3 linked regions of the Drosophila melanogaster genome follow. The protein of the gene in region 2 interacts with the protein of the main gene of each other region in a pairwise test. Each region holds a gene or a part of one and is shown on either strand. Other genes may lie near its edges. The genes, in order: CG13991, CG15710 and CG10948.

Region 1 (3,756 bases), on a different chromosome or scaffold from region 2:
CGTTGTTATTGGCTAACCTCACATTCTAGCTTTTATGGCACCCGTCTGAGTGGTTAACCTTAGTTGATCAAATTTTTAGAAAAAAGTGCTTTTGGTTGCATCTTGTTCAAATTGATTGACTTGCCGGCACTTGGCCATAAACCAATGTAATGCTAAAAGAAAATTGCCTTGTCTGAGCGGTGGAAAATGTATGTGTAATGAAATTTGCAGCGTCAATTGCATTCGTCTACTGGCCACACATAACGAAAGAGCCCGAAGGACATAGACCACTCATAGATCCTTCTGTAAAATGGTGGACAAAGAAAAGCTTTCTTTGCCGCATGTGTGAAAAAATGTATATGAAAAGTTACCCAATAAATTCAAGAAGCAAAACTTGGATGGTAGCCGACTGTGGCATACCTTTTATTGATTCGGATTAGCCTGAAATATTAAAAACATTGCTATTTAAAAGATACTTTTATAATGTTTCCGAAAATGGATATTCAACATGCAGATTATGTTAAATCCTAAGATATAGTAAGTAATCGAGATAGAAGCAATTTGGGGGAGTGCATTTATAGAAACATCATCCTTAAAGTTCCCGCAAACGCCTCTTCACCAAAATGGCAAATTTTACTGCCCGAAAGAAGTCAGTGAAACCCAATACTCAGGAAACTGGGTCTCCAAGGAGCATGCCATACAGTATGTACCCTTCAGCTTCGTCTTCATTTCCATCAGGCGTACCTATTTTATCTTTTTTCCACCGTGCCTTCCAAAGATTCCGGCGACGATGTCGGTTTTAAATTACTCAAAGAAAATGAATGTTACAACAAAAGTGAGTTTTAGCTGGCAAATTGAAAAAAAAAATGAAAGTCGAAAAGAAATTCGCACGGAAGCTGGCGGAGTGAATCGAATCGAATGCTTTACATGTTTTCCTCTAAAAATGAAAGAAAGTTAATTTAATTTGAAGTCTCGAATGCCCACATATGTGTCTTGTATCTGCATATTTGTGTTTGAATGCACGCGTGTGTGTTGGATTGTAAACGTAATTTAATTTAACCAAAAATGCGTTTATCAGTTATTCGAGTGCTTACTGTACTTGAAGCTTAAAGTCAATTAATATTCAATGGAAATTTCCGATACTTTCTGTCGAATACTAAGTGCTGTTGTAAATTAGCCAGAGACAAAACACTAATTGAATTAAGCGGATTTGCAAATTTATTGAACATGATTAAAGCAATTGCATTTTGGCTGGGCTTTACCATATTTCCGTGTGTGAGTGCCCAATTTTGCACTTAATCACTATTAGCAGAGATTTCTATAACTATAACATTTACCTATAACATACTAACAATTTCCTTCTTCATATAAAATAAAACAATCAGAATTCATCGAGAAAAAGTTGAGTTGATTGATTGTTTTTGATCGTCTTGCGCCCTACTGTACTTTTAAATATTATTGTTCATATTGTGATGAAATTTAATTACTTTTTAGAGTGCAGACATTTTAAATTATTCATTATTTTCTGATTGCACATATGTGGTACATACATATGTACATATGTGTAAGCCTGCTGGAGTGGGCAGTTGTATAACCAGCGCACGCAATAAGAAAAATTTCAGTTTTTAATTAAATTTGTACGGAAGTGAAGCCGTATTAAACGGAAATGTTGAACAGTTTGAATTCAGACCCGGCCGCCACCTCGTCATCATCGTCATCATCATCAGCAGCATCATCATCATCATCATCAGTGCCATTAATATGAGAATCATTGCCAACCTTCATTTTCGCAACATCCGTGCCTTTGTGTTGCCTGTCAGGTTGATTTTTGCGCTCCCGATTCAATTTTCACTTAACTCAATTTAATGGAGGCGGTGGCGAAAAACCTACTGGAATTCAAATCCGTTCGAAAAACAAACTTCTGAAACAGCAAGAAAAACTTCCAGAAAAATTTCGAAAAGGCTACATTGTTGAACAATTCATTTTAGTTTTCTACTAACTTCAACTTATAAATTCGTTCTACAGTTTTGTGGCTTTTTGTTAAAGCCAAACTGGGCAGGTTTAGCTCCAAATTTCATCGAACTACGTCCTATGCTGTTGAAATACTCCTGCTTGCCAAAAATACGCCAGCTTATATTTCTATTTGGATATTGGGCAGCCAGAAGAACCTAACGATGTCGATGCAACACCATAACTTGGCTGCGAAGAACTACCGCATGGAGACGGTGAATCGCACATTAAACATGCGTGCTCGGAACAAAAATGAAAGGGAATTGATTGGTGGCTTAACTGAGGTAATGGAGACCAAAGCTAAGACAAAGCCGAAAGCTGAAGCTACCGGCAAGCGGATATGTCCACCGCGTAAGAATCCGGAACGCAAGACGCGAGAGGAGCGGACCATCGAAAAGTTCCGCAACATCGACTTCTTTGGTCAGCGCGACTCGAACAATATATTGACGGTTCAGAATCTGGAGTTTCCCGACGTCAATGTCAAGCGCACGGAGCTGCACAAGCGCGACGAGTGCGGCAAGGTCGTTATCCGGGCCAGAGGACGTGACTTCGAGAGCTCGAGCAACTCCCACTTCAGGGATGGCATCGAGACGGTGAAGCTACGCAAGAGTGTCTGCTCCACGACGAGCACGGCAAAGAAGTCACAGAGCGACAGTGGCCAAAACGGCGGATCGATCAGAGAGTCGTCCGAGAAAGAACCGGACTCGGACGAGCTGGTTGACTCCATGCACTTGCCCTCCACGCGGCCGCCCCATTTCAAGGGCGAGGAGTGGCGACGACCGTGCCCGGCCAGCTTTGTGGCCGGTGCACCAAGGCCACGCATTGGCCGATGTCCCAAGAACTACGAGCAGCTGGCCAAACTGACGCCCGCCAGGCAGAAGTTCTTTCTTACCCAGGATCCGCGAAAGACCCACTGCCTGGTCAATCCGGTGGCGTTGCGCCACAAGCCATTGACCAAGGAGCAGGAGTTCAGCCTGATCAGTAAGCTGGTCAAGCATGGGGACAATCTCTGCGCCAGCACCGCATCGGAGACATCCGACACGCACATCTGCGAGGTGATCGATCTGCAGAATCCGCTGCGACTGGACTTTCACGGCATGGACTACAAGACGACGTACGAGCAGGACGAGGTGGAGCAGCAGAACGCGCTGACCTTTTGGCGCGTCCAGCGCTACATGGCACGGCGAAAGGCGAAGAAGAACACCAAGGTAAATGTCGAGGCCGAGCTGAAGGAGGAGCGCCTGGCCGTGCCGCAGCGCTACAATACGACGATCAAGGATACGCCCATAGAGACACCATCGCCGCCGCCATCGCCACGGCTGGTTCATCTGTATCGCAGTCCGGACAAGCCGGCCAACAAGCTAAAGATCGAAGAGGAGCGTCGGCGCCGCGCCGCACGCTACAAGGACATCTATCTGCGAAAGAAGCAGCGCGAGGAGGAGCAGCTGCTGGAGCGGCGCAAGCAGGAGGCGGCCATCAAGGAGATCGAAGGACGCACGGTCGCCGAGGCCGATCTGCGTGCCGATGTGGCCGTCATCGACGATGCAATTGAGCGCAGCTTTCGCAAACACGTGGAGCTGAAGCCAATTATACGGAAACGTAAGGTCTTCCCCAAGACTCTAACCGAAACGGAGCGCCTGAAGGCCATCATGCACCGTGAGGATTGTGTGCGTCGCGACAAGGCGAGGGTCACCCAGCAGTTCTATCTGGAGCGCACTGGCAAGCACAAGTACATGCCGGATGCGGAGCAGCAGCTGGCCTGCGACG
Region 2 (3,570 bases):
GGGGCAGGTGGCCAGGCGCCACGCCCACAAGGAGCGACCGCAACATGCTGTAATGCGTGGCTCTATCAGCATTTGCATGTGCAGCTGGAGCTGGAGCTAAATGCGCCCGATACTTAAAGCCAACTAAAGGCCATATGTTAGCCTACACTGCCAAAGGACAAACTTAATGTCAACACGCTAATCTGTCAGTCGGCAGGAGTTGCAGCGCAGGATGCGAGATGCAGGGCGCGGAATGGGGGATACTGGCATGGCGGGGAGTTGGGAGTGCGACTGCAAAGGATCTGCCACAATGTCAGGCCACTTAAGGAGCGCTGAATCGCAGCGCCTCGCTGCACAGGAACTCAAGGATATTGGAAGTGGGCGGAAAATGGGCGGGGAACACTCCCAGAAAATGCAGCGATTCTTAGACAAACTTCAATCCTTGGAACTTGATTAGCTATTATTACTTAAGGCAAACGATTAAAAAAGCTTCTGCGTAAAGGATTAGTAGAAAGATATAAAAGAATCCCATATTCTGTTAATCTGAAATCAACAGATTCTGAAATGAAAAATATTCATATTTCAGATAGCTTACTTCAAAATAACTAAAAAGAATAGCCTAAATGGTTTAAAAAGCATATAATACATTCAAGAATAGTGTATGCTTTTTAAATAATTCACAATCTTTTGAGGAAATACCAACAACCCAACTTCGCGCTGCTTAAAATTAATGATAAGTATGTTTAATATTTATAGAAAATTATTTGCTAGTGTATCGCCGCCTGGATGGCGCAACAATAATGCTGGACCCTTTGAAATGACAAAAATTGGTTGCTCTCCGTGCGGCTTGACGCCTGACTTGGCAGGAGACACTCGAGGGCACCACAAATGCCAAGCCGTCACCCACCCAGGCACCCAACTAAACACCCACTGCTCCTACAAGCAACGTCCTCCCCCCGCGAAGGACGCGTCTTATCAACTATGCAGGGCTTTGTCTCTAAGCGATTGCAGGCGCCACCCCCCCTTTCCCTTCCAACCTGCCCCTGCCCCCTTTTGCTCCACGCAGTCAGCGTCTTTTGTTGCGCTTAATGAATTTTACGTAAATTTTACGAGCGCTGATTTCTGGCAGCAGCAGCACCACCCCAGCTATTAATCCACACTTTGGCGAGAGCACCACCCCCAGTGGATGGGTAAATTAGTGGGTGGTTGGGTGGTTAGTGGGTGGATGAGACTGGTGCTCTCCTGGTTGTGCGTGTGTAATGACAAGTTCAACAACAACTCGACATTGTCGACTGGTGACGAGGACGACGTGCTCCGACATTTGTTTGCCCAAGTTATGCAAATATTTTTCCAGTCAAGAAGTTTTTGTTTAATTGCATATTTTGACTCGCATTACGCGTGTCATAAAGCAGGGATCCGGAGCTTACCACAATGCCAGAAGTTGGGCGGGGATTAGAGGCACTCGAAAGACATGTTCCTGCATTTTACAGTTCAAAGACCAAACTAAACAATCAGTTTTACGAGTATAGATCTTATTCTGCCCAGGCTTGCCATTGAACTATAGCTATCTTCCTTAGAAATTAATTTAAATTAAATTTATATTTAAGTCTCTAAGATGATATTTTAAAAATAATTCCTAACACAGACGAAATCATGGAGAAGCCTTTAATATGGTTCATAAAACATAATTTATTTGCTGCGTTCGAAACTGTGAAGCTGACCTACTTCATTTAAAAACGAAATTAAACCGAATATATATAGTATGTATACTTCTGCTTTAGACAGTAAAAATGCATGAAGATTGTTTGCTTAATTGGTTAAACTAAATGATGGCTAAATATATTACCACCTCATTTATGGTAATCCGAATAAAACGTTTAATTTTTTTTTGGAGGAAAGCGTTGGATTCGAATTTCATTGCCTGGACAAATTTAAAAAGTTTACATTTTTGAGGCATACCTATCGCGTATACGCTTTCTTTCTTTTCCAGCCCTGACAGTTTCCGAGTATCGAGTATCGAGTATTACTTTCTATCTTTCAATGACAATGACCGGCGACTTTCTCACTTTCTTCGTACGCTTCTTACTGGCGAAACACAAGAGCCCACAAAGGATTATGACAAGTGCTGGCAACTGGATTTCCGAGGAGCTGGAACCAGCTACTCTACTGTCGATTCAGGAGGATAATGGTATTGTTACCAAGGTGTACGTGGCGCCCTGTTTGCAGCCGATAAAAGAGGAGAAAGTTTTCCTGGAGGACAACACGCAACGCTTCCACTGTCCGCTTTGCTCTAATGTGATTCGCACGGCCGGTGCCTACAAGGTCCATCTGATGGCCTGCCAAAGACGCTTGGCACGCATGATGAAGGATGTGCCGGACGTGTCCCAGCATCAGTGCAACATTTGCAAGAAAATCTTCTCCTCGGTGGATGCCCTGATCGGCCACAGGCTCCTGCATGGAAGCCCATCAATGAATCGCACCTGTGCATCCTGCCATGTCAAGTTCGGGACGGATCTGGAGTATCGCACCCATTTGGAGAGCCATCTGATACCGTGCGAGTCCACGGATGAATCCTACGAAGGGGCGTACACCATCACCAAGACCTTCAATTGCGTCTTTTGTCGCACGGAGTTCAAGGCCTGCTTTAAGCCTGGCCAAGTGACCCGTCGATACGCGTGCGACGCATGTATCGTAAGGCTGAAGGCCCAGGAGGAGGAGAAAAAGATCTTAGGGAAGAGAAGGCCCGAATTAATCTGTGATCGTTGTGGGAAAAAGTACAAATATGAGGGTTTCCTTCACCGTCATCTGAAAACTTGCCAGATGCCGGATAAATGCAAAAGAAAGCGTGAGATTGAAATCACCGAGGTCAGCGAGGTAACATTTACAGAAGTTGTGCAAAGTTTTAATAATTGATTATACAAATTCGCACATTTTAATTTTAAATTAAATAAATATATTTTTTAATTGTAATATTTTTTATAATTTTCAAATTATGGCGCCCATCCCACCGATATCTATTTCGATCTGCTATCGATGTGGTCACACTTATCGATAAATCCACCGTGGCGTGGTATTTTTGATTTAAAGCGTTAGTCGATTTCCCGCCCAGCTGCACGTGTATATTTTTTTGCGGTCCAAAGAAAAGTTCGTAAATAAACGAATTTGCGTGCATTTCCAGCGAACACGATGAGTTCAGACGAGTCCAGCGACGGTTTGGAGGAGCTGCAGAGTCTGAAGGCCCTCTACGGCCAGCAGGAGCAAGAGAAACCGGCAAAGATCAAAAGGGAACGTTATATTCCAAAGGCCTCGCAGGCCAAGGAGCTCAACTATGTGGAGGTGCCCATGGAAAAGGTGCTCTTCGGCGACAGGCAGCGACTGCTCACCAATCTAGCCAAGTCCGTGGGACAAAAGTTGCCGAACGATGACGAAGACGAGCAGGAGGAAAATCCCGGCCAGGCAAAGCCAGGCGACAAGCGGAAAGCCGCCTGGTCGGATTCCGATGACGAGGACCTGCAGGTGGGCGATGTCAAGAAGGCCACAAAGCACACGGGTCCACTGAACCACCTGCGCAAGGATAAATCGTACAAGGAG
Region 3 (3,756 bases), on a different chromosome or scaffold from region 2:
TAGGATGGGTATGGTGTGTTTTCAGTGTAGGTGTAGGTGTTTGGATGTGTAGTACGCTGGTAGATTGTTCAGATATACAGACGCTAAAAGGCTAACCCGGGCGCAACGTAAACAGAAAAATAGGATTTCAAAGTGGGATCGGCGCCTAGTTTCCCGTCTAGACTAGAGCTAAGAAAGCTGATCTTCCGGCTGAAAGGCCGAAATACTTACATTGCGTGGACATGGTGCCCATTTGGTTGCGATAGCTGTCTCTGGCCTTCTTTAGATCCTCCTCCAGTTGCAGTTTGTCTGCATGGAGTCTTCGTACATGGGCATGAGTGCTCTGGATCATCGAATAGAAGACATTGGCGTTCCGCTTAGTGCAATCTCCCCGCTCCAGCCACGCGGTAATCGTTTGAATGGCCTTTACAAAAGTCTCGTTGGTGCGTAGGTGCTCCGCAACAGTAGTAGCCTCGTGATCCGTGTAGTGCGGTATTGGTGGCGGCGACTGCGATCGCATCCTGTCCATCGACATGCGCTCACGATGACGCTGTTCCCTCTGATGCTGTCTCTGTCGACACTCGTAATCATACTGATCATCCCGTGCCTGTGCGTAGTCCACATGCAGGCGTCCAAAGTTGGGAGGTTCATTTAGCGCTGATATACGCAATCTATAGCCGGATAGGTAGATGGCCCTATCTATGGCACCCTCTTGGCGGTAGCGAATATGGCAAAAGTTCTTCTTGGACATGCGCAATGTGGTGATCTCGCCGCATGATTCGAAGATCTCCCGGATCACTTCTTCGGTTATGTTTTCCGGCAGTCCACCCACAAACACCGTCCGGCATCCTGGTGGTCGCTCCCTTATTGTGGGAGGAGGTGCGTTCGGATTAGGTGGAAACAGGATGCAGTTCTTGGTCTTGATCACCTCCTTGAGGCCAGCTGGTGTAACGCCATCTAAAAGTATGTTTTTATTAGAATGTTTATTTAAGGTTCCAATTTGGTATTGCTTTCATTACCCGCATTAAGAGTTGCTTCTAGTCCAGCTCCGGTTTCTGTGGTCATTCCGGCTGCTGCTGCCGCTGCATAGTGCATCTGTTGCATTTGTTGCATCGCCGCCGCCATCATGGCCGTAGGATCCATGAGCATTTGCGCATTGGCGGTGCTGTTTGCTGAAGCTGCCGGCGTGGATCCCCCTGCAGCCGAGGATGGATTGCCGGGTGCAGTAGCACCACCCGCTTGGGTGGCCGGAAAATACAGATATCCAGGTGGTGTGTGCACCAAGCCATTCAGGTATAGTTGCGTCGAATCGGGCAGAGTGAGCGAGTTGGATGTGGCCTGCAACTTGGGTTCCTTGTGCATCGTCGAGGAGCTCACATCCGCAGAGTGTTCGTTCTCATTCTCCAGATCCATGGGCGCACTGCCCTGTGGTTGTTGTTGTTGTTTTGCCATCTTATTCTGGATCTGTTTGGGGGGCGAAGAGGGATTTCCCACGACAGATGTGCTCGAGGCCGCCGTGGAAATTGCAGCTGCCAATTGGTTGAGGAAATTCGGGTGATTTGGCAAACTGACGCCATTCGGCATGGTCCCAAAGAGCGGTACTGCAAAATGTACACAGTTTGTAATTTGCTTTAAAAGAGATAACAACCCAAACGAAGCCGGTAGCAAAACAAAATAACCAATCAGCTGAGCACCTCAATTTTCGATAGGTAAAAAAAGGAAATAAAAGCTGGGGGGTGGCAAGTGCCCAAAATGGCGTAAGTCCCACCTGCTGATAAAAGTCGAATTCACCGCAAATACTGTTGTTTCTTAATTTCCCAGACCTTTCTATTTATTCCATTTTCTTTGCTACACATTTTGTGGGCTTTTTAAAATCATTATCTTATCACTTACGCATATTAACGCCCCAGTAATTGTACGACAGGTATGTATAAAAAAAAACTAATTATATTTAGAGATGAGTGACTGCTCGTACTGGTCACCCTAAAAAGAGTATCGATATCCGATAATTTCGGCGCTGCCACACTTTTCACTATGAATCATCAGCTGTCGTCAGTTTTCTAGAAAAACAAAACGTAGTTGTATGAAATTTTTGCAAATTTTTGTGGACTCAAAACAGTTGGAAAATTAAAGAGACATGTCGGTTAATACGGCTCACGCCAACAATGGCGTGCTCATCCATGCTGGAGAGTAGTAAGTTAACGGAAAAGTCCTTTAATTAACACTGAAAATGCTGAACATCCCTGACGTCATAAATGTAAACACTGACGTGTGGCTGGCGATTTGAAAGGAAATTAGCCTATGTTCCAGCGATAAGATAGAAATATGGCACACAAATTAACTGCTTTTACACTTTCAGCATACTGCTCCACAGCGACAGTGTCTCCATGGAGTTCTCCGGTCAGGACAATCCCATCTTCAAGGGCTCCAAAGGTGGCAGGATTTATCTCACCTCCCACCGAATGATCTTCAATAGCAAGAAGTCCTCGGATTCGATGCAGTCGTTCAGTGCCCCGTTTGTTGCTCTTTCGGATGTGGAAATCGAACAGCCCGTTTTCGGGGCCAACTACATCAAGGGAAAGGTTCGCGCTCAGCCAAATGGAAACTACGTGGGCGAGGTCAAGTTCAAGCTCCATTTCAAGGCAGGCGGCGCAATTGAGTAAGTGCATTGTGCACCTAAATTAAAACTAATTAGACGGATCTCTTGATAAGTCTTAATACTGAATAGACTCAAGAGAATATATAATGTTCTGATTAACAAGTCCATTTCTTATAGATATGGTCAAGCTCTACTGCGCTCCGCCAAGACGGCGATGAACAACTACCACCGCGGTGGTCTGGCTGGTGATGATCCGCCACCATATCAGCCGGCTGGATCCTGGAATGAGGCACCACCGCCGGCATATCAGCCACCACCTGGCTACTATGGCTGGCTGCCGCAGCATGACGCATTCAGCGGCCCTGCGCCGAATACGGTCTATATGAGCGACAATCCGCCGCCGTATCCGGGTATCGGTAAGTTAAACGCACGTGCACTTTACCCAATCTATACTCGGCTTTTGTTTTGGCACGCTGGCTACGCGAATTGGCAACCTGGCTTACCCACGAAATTCACGCTACGCACTCGCTTCGTTTAACCCAATGGGGCACTCCTCTCTTTTTCGTCTTAGCACCACCTGCTCACCAACCAGCACCGCAACAGCCGCAGGCACCGTCGTCGAATGAACCCAATTGGTATGGTTTTTCAGCGCCGCCGCCGCAGCAGCAACAACAGCAGCCGGGCTATGGGCCACAAGGATGGGCCGGTGGCTATGTCCAACCTCCGCCGTACGCTTCATGTGCCCCAAATTGTCCACCACAGCCGCCGTACGCCGCTCCGGCTCAGACGTACAATGGTCCACAGCCATATGGTGGATACGGCAATGTTCCTGGCGGATTTAATACCCCCGGATTTCAGCAACCGAATGGAAATCCAAATGGCTATCCAGGTGGACCACCGCCACCCGGACAACAAGCAGCAGGAGCAGCTGGAGGAGCCGCCGCATCTGGAGCCAGCTTTATGGGCTTCAGCTTGCCCCCTGGAAGTGAGTAGAACTCATCATCCCATTCATCACTTTTTTAACATTTCCCTCCCACAATGCACATTTCTAAATTGGTTTTATTCTAGCAAAAGATAAAAAAATATGAGCAAAAGGACAAGAAAATTATGAACATCTTTAAAATAGTCGAAACATCTAAAGATCTAAAATGTTATCAAGAATTTAATTGAAGTATCAT

The links.
Region 1: the proteins of CG15710 (region 2) and CG13991 interact in a two-hybrid assay, tested with the Drosophila melanogaster proteins (one large-scale study listed by BioGRID).
Region 3: the proteins of CG15710 (region 2) and CG10948 interact in a two-hybrid assay, tested with the Drosophila melanogaster proteins (one large-scale study listed by BioGRID).

Annotation. Positions count from the first base shown.
Region 1 is NT_033779.5:6,137,396-6,141,151, forward strand, and holds the start of CG13991 (uncharacterized protein), read left to right. Parts: upstream 1-1,986; 5' UTR 1,987-2,153; coding exon 2,154-3,756.
Region 2 is NT_033778.4:16,346,991-16,350,560, reverse strand, and holds CG15710 (uncharacterized protein), read left to right. Parts: upstream 1-2,033; 5' UTR 2,034-2,094; coding exon 2,095-2,892; 3' UTR 2,893-2,947; downstream 2,948-3,570. Other genes in the region: wcd (wicked), read left to right, coding at 3,166-3,570.
Region 3 is NT_037436.4:12,848,160-12,851,915, forward strand, and holds the start of CG10948 (uncharacterized protein), read right to left. Parts: upstream 1,959-3,756; 5' UTR 1,877-1,958; coding exon 1,873-1,876; intron 1,633-1,872; exon of another isoform or gene 1,581-1,632; coding exon 999-1,580; intron 937-998; coding exon 211-936; intron 1-210. Other genes in the region: Wbp2 (WW domain binding protein 2), read left to right, coding at 2,117-2,172, 2,339-2,638, 2,756-2,994, 3,150-3,563.